Linked DNA regions of Schizosaccharomyces pombe. The protein of the gene in region 2 binds, or shares a complex with, the protein of the main gene of each other region. Each region holds a gene or a part of one and is shown on either strand. Other genes may lie near its edges.

Region 1 (2,750 bases), 1.3 Mb from region 2:
TCCAGAAGAGTCATGGACCTTAATTACTTATTTATCTCAACATGAATATATACCCTATCATATGTTGATGCTTGACCCACTGTTCAAAGGACACGACGATGCCGTTCGTGCCTTGGAAGAATCAGAATTGATTACTATTACCACAGTGAATGCAAGACCGGATAAAGTCTACGCTGGAAAACCTGTATATGTTACGGCTTTCCGGCAACTTGTAAATGATCCAGTATTAAGTGCTAATATGCAGTTGGTGAGATGTAACGCGTTAATTGGCATGGCTAACAATGCTATCAAGAATGATGAACAGGAGCTACAAATGCTAAAGGACCTTGGGAACCTTGAATCAGGTGTGAAGGATCGTGCTCATTACTTAACGACGCGTATCCAGAAAAATCAAGGTGTTATTACTGATAATGAGAAAAGTATAGAAAGGCTTACTGAGGCTTTGAAAAAAATCGACTAAGATGCGAAAGCATATCATTTAAGATTACGTATGTTTTTATGAATTCTTTAGCATGAAGCTATAATGTCAACAATAATATCACATTTAATGACTACGCATTAACGAGAGAGAAGGGAGTAAGGATTTGGTAGGTAGTCCAAAAATCGTCGTAATATGAAGTGAGCGTAATGAAGAATTAGCCTAGGTAGAAAAAAAAAGAAGAAGCGAAACCGGTTATAGTCATTAACCTTGACGGGTTTTATGTCTCGGATGTTTTTTGCATAGTACATACAACCTACCTTTGCGACGCACAAAATAGCAGGATGAACAACGCTTTTTTACTGATGCTTTCACTTTGAAACCTCTTGAAAAGTTCCAAGGTAGAAGGCTAGGAGAAAGTCTGAAAGCAGGGGTTAAGAACATAGATGCATTTTTTAACAACCCTTTTTGTGCATTAAAAGCAGAAGGGAAGACTCGTGACAAAACACCCACAGCAAAAAATTTACGACCTAATGAAGCCATTATAAGTTAAAAAAAAAGTGAAACTGGGACTTCAAGTCAAGATGTTTAAATTTTTTTGGATCCGAAGTAATTCTGAGCTAAATAAATGATGTACGATGGAAAAGTGTTCACAATTTGGACTGAGCCAAAAAAGAACGATAATAGAAAATGCCTATCAACAAGAGAAGATTTTCATAAAAAAAAAAGGTGAATACTAAGTTATATAAACTCGCTTACGCCCGATTTGTTGGATATTCTTTGTTGGGAAAATAAATAGTAGTTAGTGCTTCTAGTAAGCTAACCTACGACATGTCAGTTAGTGACAACCAACATGTCTTGTTATTCTATAAATTCAATAGCCAGCTTACTGTGGAGCAATTTGACCTGAAATTTATCACATTATTTTAAAATAAGGAATACTTTTATTAAAGTGGAGTCAACTCAACAGTGTAGCTCCATTTTTTGTTTACAAATGAAAATTTTAATGTTGAGTCTCTGACCTTCTTAGTCCCTAAAATAGCTAATTGACCGCATCATCTAATAACTTTGATTCTACGTTATTTGGTTTGGCATGCTAATCGATTAATTTGAAATGATCAATTTTTGAGAATTTGTTTATGTTTTTAGTTGCTGGTATAACGAGTTCGTTATACTTTGCTAATTTGGGTATGGAACTGGAGTGCAGATGCGTCATTTGCCTTGGTAAAAGATTGTTAAAGGAAAATTTAGCAAATCCCACGAATTGGTGGATGTCTCAAAAACACCAAAATATTCAATCCAAAGGCTGAAAAATAGATTGCTATGCAGCAAAATGTTAAAGAGAAACATGCTGGCAAAAGTGACACATCAGTGAGTTCTTTGGAGTGTGAAATCGATTATCATATCGAAGGGTCAGATGGCATACCTGTTGTGGAACCAGTAAGTTTACGCGAAAAATATTAAATATTTTGTGGATGTTAACAAAATTTGTTTAGAAAATTTCAGAATTTGTAGATATGGAAAGTTTTATTCGGCGCGTTGAAAGGCTTGGCAAGAAATACGGCGCAATTAAAGTTGTTCGTCCTAGTTCTGTTTTAAATCCTTGGAACGAAGATACAATGAAACCTTCCGATGTAAAAATGGATTTATGGTTAGAGCGAATGGTGAGACGGAAAGGAGAGTACTTCGAGATTCAAAGCGATATAGACCATGGCTCGGCTGGTCCTAAAAAGCCTACCGATATGAATGTCGACGACAGGTTTCCTTCAAACGCTGGAAGTTCTAATGACTTTGAAAACAATGTGGCTAAAGCTATTGCATATTATTGGCGTTCTTTGACCCATGACAGTCTGTGGTATGGATATACTAATCGCCCATCGATCCCCTTCTATTTTATACCTTCGATATCTGCTGCTCAAAAAGATAGGGTACATTTAAGATCGAATACATTGATTAACACTTGGCCAAATGTTGGTCACTTATTTGCTGGGAAATGGAAAACTACCCTTCCTTGGCGGGTAGAATCTCCTGAGCTGCATGCAGTTCAGGTACATTTAGGTGGCTCTTCATTGCAATGGTATGTGATACCTTCAGCACATAGTGAGTCTTTTAAAAAATTAGCTGGAAAGCTTGCGCAAGATGAGCATTGGCGTTGTTCAGATTTTTTGCTTCACCAGAATATTTTGTTTCCCCCTTCAACTCTAGTACAAAATGGTATTGTTACTTATTCAACAGTCCTTAAACAGGATGAACTGCTTATAACCTTTCCAGGCACACATCATAGTGCATTTTGTCTAGGAGACGCTGTTTTACGACGTTTTGTCTTTCGTTC
Region 2 (8,114 bases):
AGAAGCATTCGTGCATCAAAATCTGGAAGCAAAGAACGAAACAACTGGAATGAATTACAAGCCAAACGTCGAGAAGGACAAGTCGTAGCCCACGATAAAGCAACCTCACCCCATATTTGTTTAAGCTCAGGATATGATGAACTCAATAACTCAATTGTCTTCAAAATCATGTTATGATATTTAACCAAATCATCCTCCTTCTTGGTTTTACCACGAAGGCCCGTTATTAGTGAGCTTTCTACATTGAAATCAAAATAAGCGTCGTCATAATCTAACCTTCCTTCCATAGCTAGAACTTTTCGTACAACATACTGAAAAATCTGCTGGCATTGCTCTTGGACTATGCGAGAATAATGATCAAATTGTATAAAAGCAGCATGGAGTATTGTAGCCACATCATCAGTAACTGTGATTATAGAAGGATTTGGAAGAATATCCATCAATAATAGTAAAGATAACTGGCACGGGGAGTAGGAAATATGATTTTTTTCACTGGGAAACAAATCCTCTAAATTTGCAACATAAGTTGAAGATAAATCCTCAAGACTAAATTTATAAACCTCTTGGTTTTCATTCGATACATTAGCAGGACAAACAAAAGACAGAAGGGTAGAGTAAAGATCAGAAAGAAGTTCTGTTTTCGCGAGATAAATAGTAATCTGTCTTGTACAGTCAACAAAAGAAAAAGTTTTCCTTTGGTAACACTGTTGCATTAAAAAAAATAAGATTACGGTCCAGTTCGACTTGTGACGCGAAAGAGCTAACGAGGTCCATAAAGCCTCAATTTCGTTAGGTAAATCATTAGTAAACTTTGCAGTGACTTCAATCAAATCAATTAGAATTACCGCCGTAAAAGAATCGAAAGTTTTGTTTTCAACATCCATCTTTAGCTCCAAATTTTGTAGCCACGGAAGTAAAACCGTCACCAGTCCACGTCTATGTTGATGACCATAATTGAAATAACGTAAACATTCTGAAGTTAAAGTGAATGAATCTTCAGTAAAATCGCTAGCAAGCTGTACAGAAAATAAGTATTGAGGTTTCAAGTATAAAGCGGGGTTGCTTGATTCCAAGAATGTTTTAAATTCCATCAATGCAGTCATAGTAAAATTATTTAGATGAAAATTTCCAAGTAACTCAAATGCTTTTAGCCTTACCGAAAGATTATTCGTGGAAAGGTTTACCAAACACAAGGGCAAAAGCTTTGGTTTACTCAAATTGTTTGGATTTATTTGAATAAGCATTTCAGAAAGCGACAAGAAATAGTAATTAGAAATAGTCTGCGAAATCTCTTTAGAAAAGCAACGGTTGATTACCTTCTGCAGCAATACTTCATTGCTGCTATTCTCTAATAATAAGGCGGTCAGGCCTTTTCTAGCCAGCCCCACTATAGCCTTGGAGGGAGAACCAAAGACAGCAGTAAACCAATTAAGCAGTATCTCTATGTCGAACAAAAACACTCCTTCAGTTAATTCCTGTTGTAGCTTTGCTGTACATAACGCGATCATTGCCTTAATAGCCAAATACTCGAGGTTTTGCTTTCCAGCTTCAAATGAAGCTAACAACTTATCACGCTCACGAATATCTTTATTGTTACCGCGTATATGAGCTCTCATTAGCTCTTCGCGATTTTTTGTAATTGCACGAGCAGGACCAAATCCAGTCCATTCATCCAATAATTTCCAACACGAAGCACGTCCCGAAAAAGGAAGAACCTCAGACGACGGATGCAAATTCTGAACCAGTAATACTTTCTCAAGTAATTGAGAAAAGTAGCACCTTAATTTCAAATACTTCTCATCTGCTTGGACATTAGGAGTACTCAAAAATCCCTTTAAATCTTTCAAAAATTCAGATATAACAGACAACGCTTCACGGTCTTCATTTAATAACTCATGCAATAAGAGATGTGATGTCATTGCAAAAATGTGAGCTATTTCAGATCGCAATAACAAATCAGGTTTATTACGGCGCTTCACAGAAGGGAAGTTTAAGCCTGCAAAAATAAACTCTTGATGATCCTGTTTGAGCACAGATATATACGGCTTCAAAGAACGTACTAATTGTGGAAAGGCGTTTACGTTTATACAGCCAATAGCAAAAACAACAGCTTCACGTATAGGAGAAAATTCAGTAAAAATGAGAGGCAATACCATACTAAAAAGACTTTCTGCGCTAGTTATCTTTATGGTTTCCTGTAAACCACGTAAATGGTTTCCAGATTGAACAGCAGTAAGTGTCCTCCTAAGGTCAGTGTGCGAATAATCCACGTTAGAAGTGTATGTAATTGTACAACATGCAACAATAAGGTACAGCTTCCACTGAACTAATAAAAACTCAGGAAAATTATCATTTTTTACAGCAGACTTCAAGTTAAAGTTTAATTCCGAAGATTCAATACGCGATAATAATTGCATAGTAATACTCGGAAGTTTCTCACAAACAGTATTTCTAAGCAATGCCATAGTGGTAGGAAATCTTTCAAAACAAACCTTTATAAAGCGAGGAAATACATTGTACCATATTGAAATGTCAACGCCGCTGTTTGACGTAGCTAGTTTCAAAAGCATATCCTTGGTTCCATCGTTGATAAACTTGCGCAATCGTGACCTTTCAGCAGCAGTCGGTAAGTGACTTTCGACACTCAAAATTGAAGAATCGCAATCTTTCAGAACATCGACAATTGTCGGTTCAGAATATATGTCACCAACTTCAACTTTATCTGAAGAAAGCATCAAATACTCCGTATTTAATTGCTTAACATCATTAAGCAAAGCCACTGCAAACTTACGGATTCCAACTGATGGTGAAGATAAATGAAGTACACCAAGTGATTGAATTTCTTCAATTATCGTCCAACTTTGAATGTCATCATAATCTTGTTTTACAGAGGCAGGAGTATTGCTTTCAGAACTTGCACACGATTTATTACTAAGGACAGAATTCCTTTTTTCAATAACTGCTTCTTGCTGACTGATCCAAATTCTAATAACTTCATGGTAAGTTCGTAACAAGTACTCTGAACCCTTAACCAATTTCCGAGAAAGACAAGATATCACTGACTTCGACATTTTAAGCCCAGAAGAAAAGTATATCAAAGAGTTATGACAAACAGTATGGATTATTTTGTTTGAACAATTCAAACACTTAACATATGCATCAATTACACGTTGTTCTAATTTTCCCATGAGACAAGGAAACACTTTGAGTGCATTAATGTACAAAGCAAGCAAACTGGTTGCATTTTTTGAATCAAGGTAACAGTTGGTATTAGTGGAGAGCTGAAAAACGAGGAATAGAAGCTTTTGCGAAAGATTATGAACAAATTGTTGTAATGGAGTTCCGACGGCAACTTCATGTAAATCAACGAACTCAAATTCAATATATTCGAATATAGTACTATCCGATTTTTTGTACTTCATGTCGTGCAGAATGTAATAAACAGACCGAACAACAATCATTAATTTCTCAGGGCCAATATTCTCGGTAAAAGCATCAGTAGACAAAGGTGTTAAAATCTCTTTGATGACAAGCTCTGGAAAATGAGCACCGACTACACGCACAATTTGTGCATAACCATCCAATTCTTCTAAAGTGGCGAATGGAACCACGCTAAACTTTTTGCCAATCGAAAATCCCGATTTCAAAATATTAGAAATATTAGAATTCATTATGGAAGGTTCTTCCTTATACTGATTAGAGTAAGTCCATACAACACGAGAAAGATGGGGTAGACCGGTGTTCCTTAATCGTCTGTCTTTAACACGAAAAAAAGCAGCATCAAGGGAGGATATCCAATGCTTAAGGAAGAACTGTTTGGGAGAAAGACATAGAAGTGTACAACAAAAAGGGAAAAAAACATTCCAGTATTTAGTTTTCGTACACATTTTCAGTACTACAGGATATATTGTTTCAATGGTGCGCGACCACGCAGGAATATTCACCTCAAATGTAGCTCGACTGATTAATGGTCGAAGCAACTGTTCCATAAGATATGCATATTCGATTTTCAAGGCTGTGTTGGCTTTCATGAAAAAGGAAGTCAATGATTGCAAAAAAGCAATTGACTCTTCTAAAAGAGTTGTTGGATAAAGCTGCAAACGCAAATAACGCATTGCTCTAAGGAGATGGACAAGAACCGTTTCTTTTTGCCTGGAATCACAGCCAGACTTTTCCAAATGCTCAATCTCTTCAATAAAACGATCTGATACCATGACGAAGTTAAATCGAGACATACTTCCCACAAGGAATGCAAAACTTTCCCAATTAGCAAGACTGAAATAGGATGACGAAACTGGTAAATTTTTAGCGCTTAGTAGCTGATGAAAAACGCATTCTAATAAACAAGATACAGTGCTTTCTTCTAAGGCATTTGACGGTATCGTTTCAGCAATCTCAGTCAAGACACGGCAAAGTATATAGATAGAAATAGAACTCCTCCGCTCATTAACAACCCGAGGAGTACCACTTGAACTTGTAATATCAACACGAACTTTTCTCCAACACAATAGGGATTCAATGACGGCAACCGGTTTGCTACTAGCTAAAGCTACAAGAGCTTGAATACATCTGTCAAATTCATTATCTTCCCCCTTTTTAAGAAGGAGGATAGCTTCTTGCTCTCCAACGTTGAATCGTACAGGTTCAGCATTCTTACCTTCGTTGGCATGATAACGAGAAAGAAATGATATTTTTTGTTCAGAGAGTCGAACAAACTGGGTGAAAAGTATGTGAAGCGCGTAATCAACTGCCGTATGGTCCTGCTTCTCAGAATACAAAGGACCATTTTCGACAGGTTGATCGTGAGCAATTTCATTCAAGCTCATTCAGGTTGGCATTATATGGTTATCTACTAAATAGACGAACTTCAAAGAAAAGGAGTATGCAAAGTAAGGGTTTGAGAGCAATACCGCTAGCCTACAGAAAAGTGAAGAAAAAAGTGTATAAAAAAGCTATCTCGTTAGTTTTTATATTTAAGCATGCGTAAGCAAATTGACTAGCAATCGATTGTTAAAATTTAGGCGTGAATGGATTCAAAACTAGAAGTTTGTAATGGCTAGCACTCCGAACAATAAAACCTCTCAGCACACTGCAACAATTTTTGCACATAAAGGAATATAACGCACTGCGTTGTAGTAGGTGTGGTACTATATAGTAGGTGATATACTTAAAAGTCTAACTTCAAAATGCCCAAAATAATTTTTAAATGAAATGTAAAAAAAGAATAACCTTCTGTATGTTTGGTCAAAACTTTCTGAATTCTATGTCAGAAAAGATAATATGGTACAAGTTCAGTTTTTTTTAATGATTTTTAAACCGTGGCAAATGCGATTTTTACACGCTAACTTTTTGGAAACGAATTATAAATATTTGTTGAAAAAACTTGAAAGTTTAAGAACAACATATACAATGCTTAATTATCAAATTATTCGCGTGGAAAAAAATAGAAGCATAAATCAGTAGAAAAAGAAAGACATATACGCAAACTTGTATACGCCCAAGACAAAGTAACAAAATAAGTTATAAATTTAATCATGCATTCACATTTTTGAGCATTAGACAGTAATAAACTACGATGACCGTGACGGGAGTTTAAATAAATAATAAAAAGAAGAAAATGTTATTTCGTGCAACCTTAAGTTGAAGGAAATCCAAAGGCATTGATGCATGTAATTATTAGTATATCCTTTTGAAGTATCTCTAAATAGTGAGCATTGCAGGTATGATGATGAGAGTTTCCGCATGGTTTCATGAAACTTGAGCAGAATTAGCAGAAGTTATATACTTATTGACACGGCGAATTGTAGGTTCATCTTTGGGCCTTGGTAACGTTGTCTCTTTGTCAAAAACAACACCGACGTATTTCCTCCGTTTGCGAAGAGACACATCCATTTGAAAAAACTTAACATATCCGGAAACAAGAGAATATATTGTGTGATCTTTACCTAGACCGGTATTATCTCCGGGATGAAATTTTGTACCACGTTGTCGAATTAGGATCTCACCAGCCCTAACGAATTGGTTTTCAGACCTTTTTATGCCGAGACGACGACCAGCAGAATCACCTGTGTTTTTCGATGAACCACCGCCATGTTTAGTAGAAGTACGAATAGGAGGGAAAGTGAGAATATTTGATGCTTTCTTATAAGCTAAACTAGCTTTAAGTAATTGAAAATTGTTAACACGAATAAAAAGCCCTTGATTGATCATTGCACGGTGAACTTTGCATCAAATGAAGTACGTATTGTAAAAGAAAAATGTGTTAAACTGATTTGGCAAATAATTAGTAATGTAGAAGGATACTAAATATTAAAAAAATTATATCTTCGTCGAAATATTGGTTTATACTAAAAGGATGGATTCGTTGTAACCAATCTTCGAAAGTTTCTACCTTACATTTCCTTTATCCCAATTTACGAGTCGTGGTAATCGTATAAAATATTCTTATTTTACAATAGTGTAGCCTTACATTTTCTGTTTGAAATTCCTTACTCCTAATATCTCGCTAAAAGAGTACCATTACCTACAATTTACTTTGTTTATATTGGAAGCATGATCGCTAATGAAAAAAAAAGTAAAAGACACTAAATTTACGTCGACAATTTCTATCCTTCTTTTTAATCATGGAAAATTCACTTGGCTCTTCAATTCAAACAGCATTAATGACTGCATGAAAGAAATATAACTTTTTCAAAGTTTTAGCCTTTATTGTATTGTCTTTATTACTCAATGATATTCAATTTTACTTGAACTTTTAAAGTATGCAGCTGGAATCACATATAATAGATTTTTCTGTGCTACTAATTGATGTCTTAATGCAATTTCAACTGTTTTGTTCCTCAAAGCAAAAATTTATGAATAAAAACGGATGTGCTTCGTGTTACTAGTTGGTGGCAGGAACCAGCAAATTTCATTTTCTTGTGAAGAAACCATAAATTCTACCTTGACAGCGATATGCTTCAAGTTATACAGTATATGTGCTGCCTTAGTTCGCAGGATAATGTATCAGGATATTGTCAAGCTTTAACTGGATTTGATTATACTCGGAAACTTCCTTAGGTTAAAAACTTTTAAAATTGGCATAAAATCTTTTTCTCGTGGATCTTCCAGCCATAGCACGACAGGGAGTACTAATTAAAGTACGTTTTGCTTAGCTGTACCTACGTTAATGTCGATCTGAAGCTTTAAGCTACTACTTCCACCTAATACTGTCGTGTCGATCCCATAACGGTGTGTTATCGACGATAAATACATCAATGTACGCGTTTTTTATTTTATGTAATTTATTAGAATATTTTTTAAAAGTTGTAAAATTTTTTGGTATATATTTTTAAAACAGGGTGGTGTTGCATTTCTAAATATTTCTCCATGTATATTGATTATGCACTTTTCCGTTTTCCATGATATGCCAGCTTTTGTGGCACGAACATAATTCTATGGGATCAGGAAGAGAGAAGAAAATAAGAAAGCTAGGAGATAACTTTTCATTACCATATCTGAAATTTGATTGTGACCATAATGACAAAAATTATCGCGCGTCAAATAGGCCATTTGGACTTTCAACTGGACTGTCAGTGCAGTTGAATGCTTCGAACATGACTGATCCCTTTAAATTTTTGTTAGATAATTGGCATACAATTTTCAAAAATGGAGCAATTAAGCTTCTGCCACCTGAGGGATGGCAAATACCTGTTGTTCTTGATCAAGGCGCTTTTGAGTTTCAGTCAAAACGCCAATGTTTAAATAAAGGTTGTCTCAATTATGAAAAAAATTATGATTATTTTAAGAAACTTAAAGCATTTCATGAAAGTCGCGGTTTATATTTTTATCACCCACCGATTATCGGGAATCGCCCAGTTGATTTTTTGCGTTTGCGTAATGCAATCTCAAAGTTTACTAATTCCGGCTCTTCATTAAATAATGAAATTTTACATAAAGTCATAATCTATTTGCGTCTTGAAGATACTAAAGAAGTGAGGCAGGTTCTCACTCGTTGCTATGATCGATACATCAAACCATTTGAAAGGGATTCATCGCCATCATTCAAATCAAAAAGATCAGAGAGCTCAACTCGGAAAATTAGAAACACTCGTAGTTCAGCTCAGCAAGAATCC

Evidence for each region.
Region 1: mrp7 (region 2) and rtc6 share a complex: the UniProt entries of both Schizosaccharomyces pombe proteins name them as parts of the mitochondrial large ribosomal subunit.

The regions. Positions count from the first base shown.
Region 1 is NC_003423.3:1,519,530-1,522,279, forward strand, and holds rtc6 (mitochondrial 54S ribosomal protein bL36m), read right to left. Parts: upstream 962-2,750; coding exon 683-961; 3' UTR 501-682; downstream 1-500. Other genes in the region: RNA-binding protein Yme2, read left to right, coding at 1-460; Lid2 complex histone demethylase H3-K36 subunit Jmj3, read left to right, coding at 1,742-1,858, 1,915-2,750. UniProt on the Schizosaccharomyces pombe protein: Component of the mitochondrial ribosome (mitoribosome), a dedicated translation machinery responsible for the synthesis of mitochondrial genome-encoded proteins, including at least some of the essential transmembrane subunits of the mitochondrial respiratory chain.
Region 2 is NC_003423.3:2,856,415-2,864,528, forward strand, and holds mrp7 (mitochondrial 54S ribosomal protein bL27m), read right to left. Parts: upstream 6,347-8,114; 5' UTR 6,211-6,346; coding exon 5,749-6,210; 3' UTR 5,065-5,748; downstream 1-5,064. Other genes in the region: morphogenesis protein Mor2, read right to left, coding at 1-4,826; Lid2 complex histone demethylase subunit Lid2, read left to right, coding at 7,401-8,114. UniProt on the Schizosaccharomyces pombe protein: Component of the mitochondrial ribosome (mitoribosome), a dedicated translation machinery responsible for the synthesis of mitochondrial genome-encoded proteins, including at least some of the essential transmembrane subunits of the mitochondrial respiratory chain.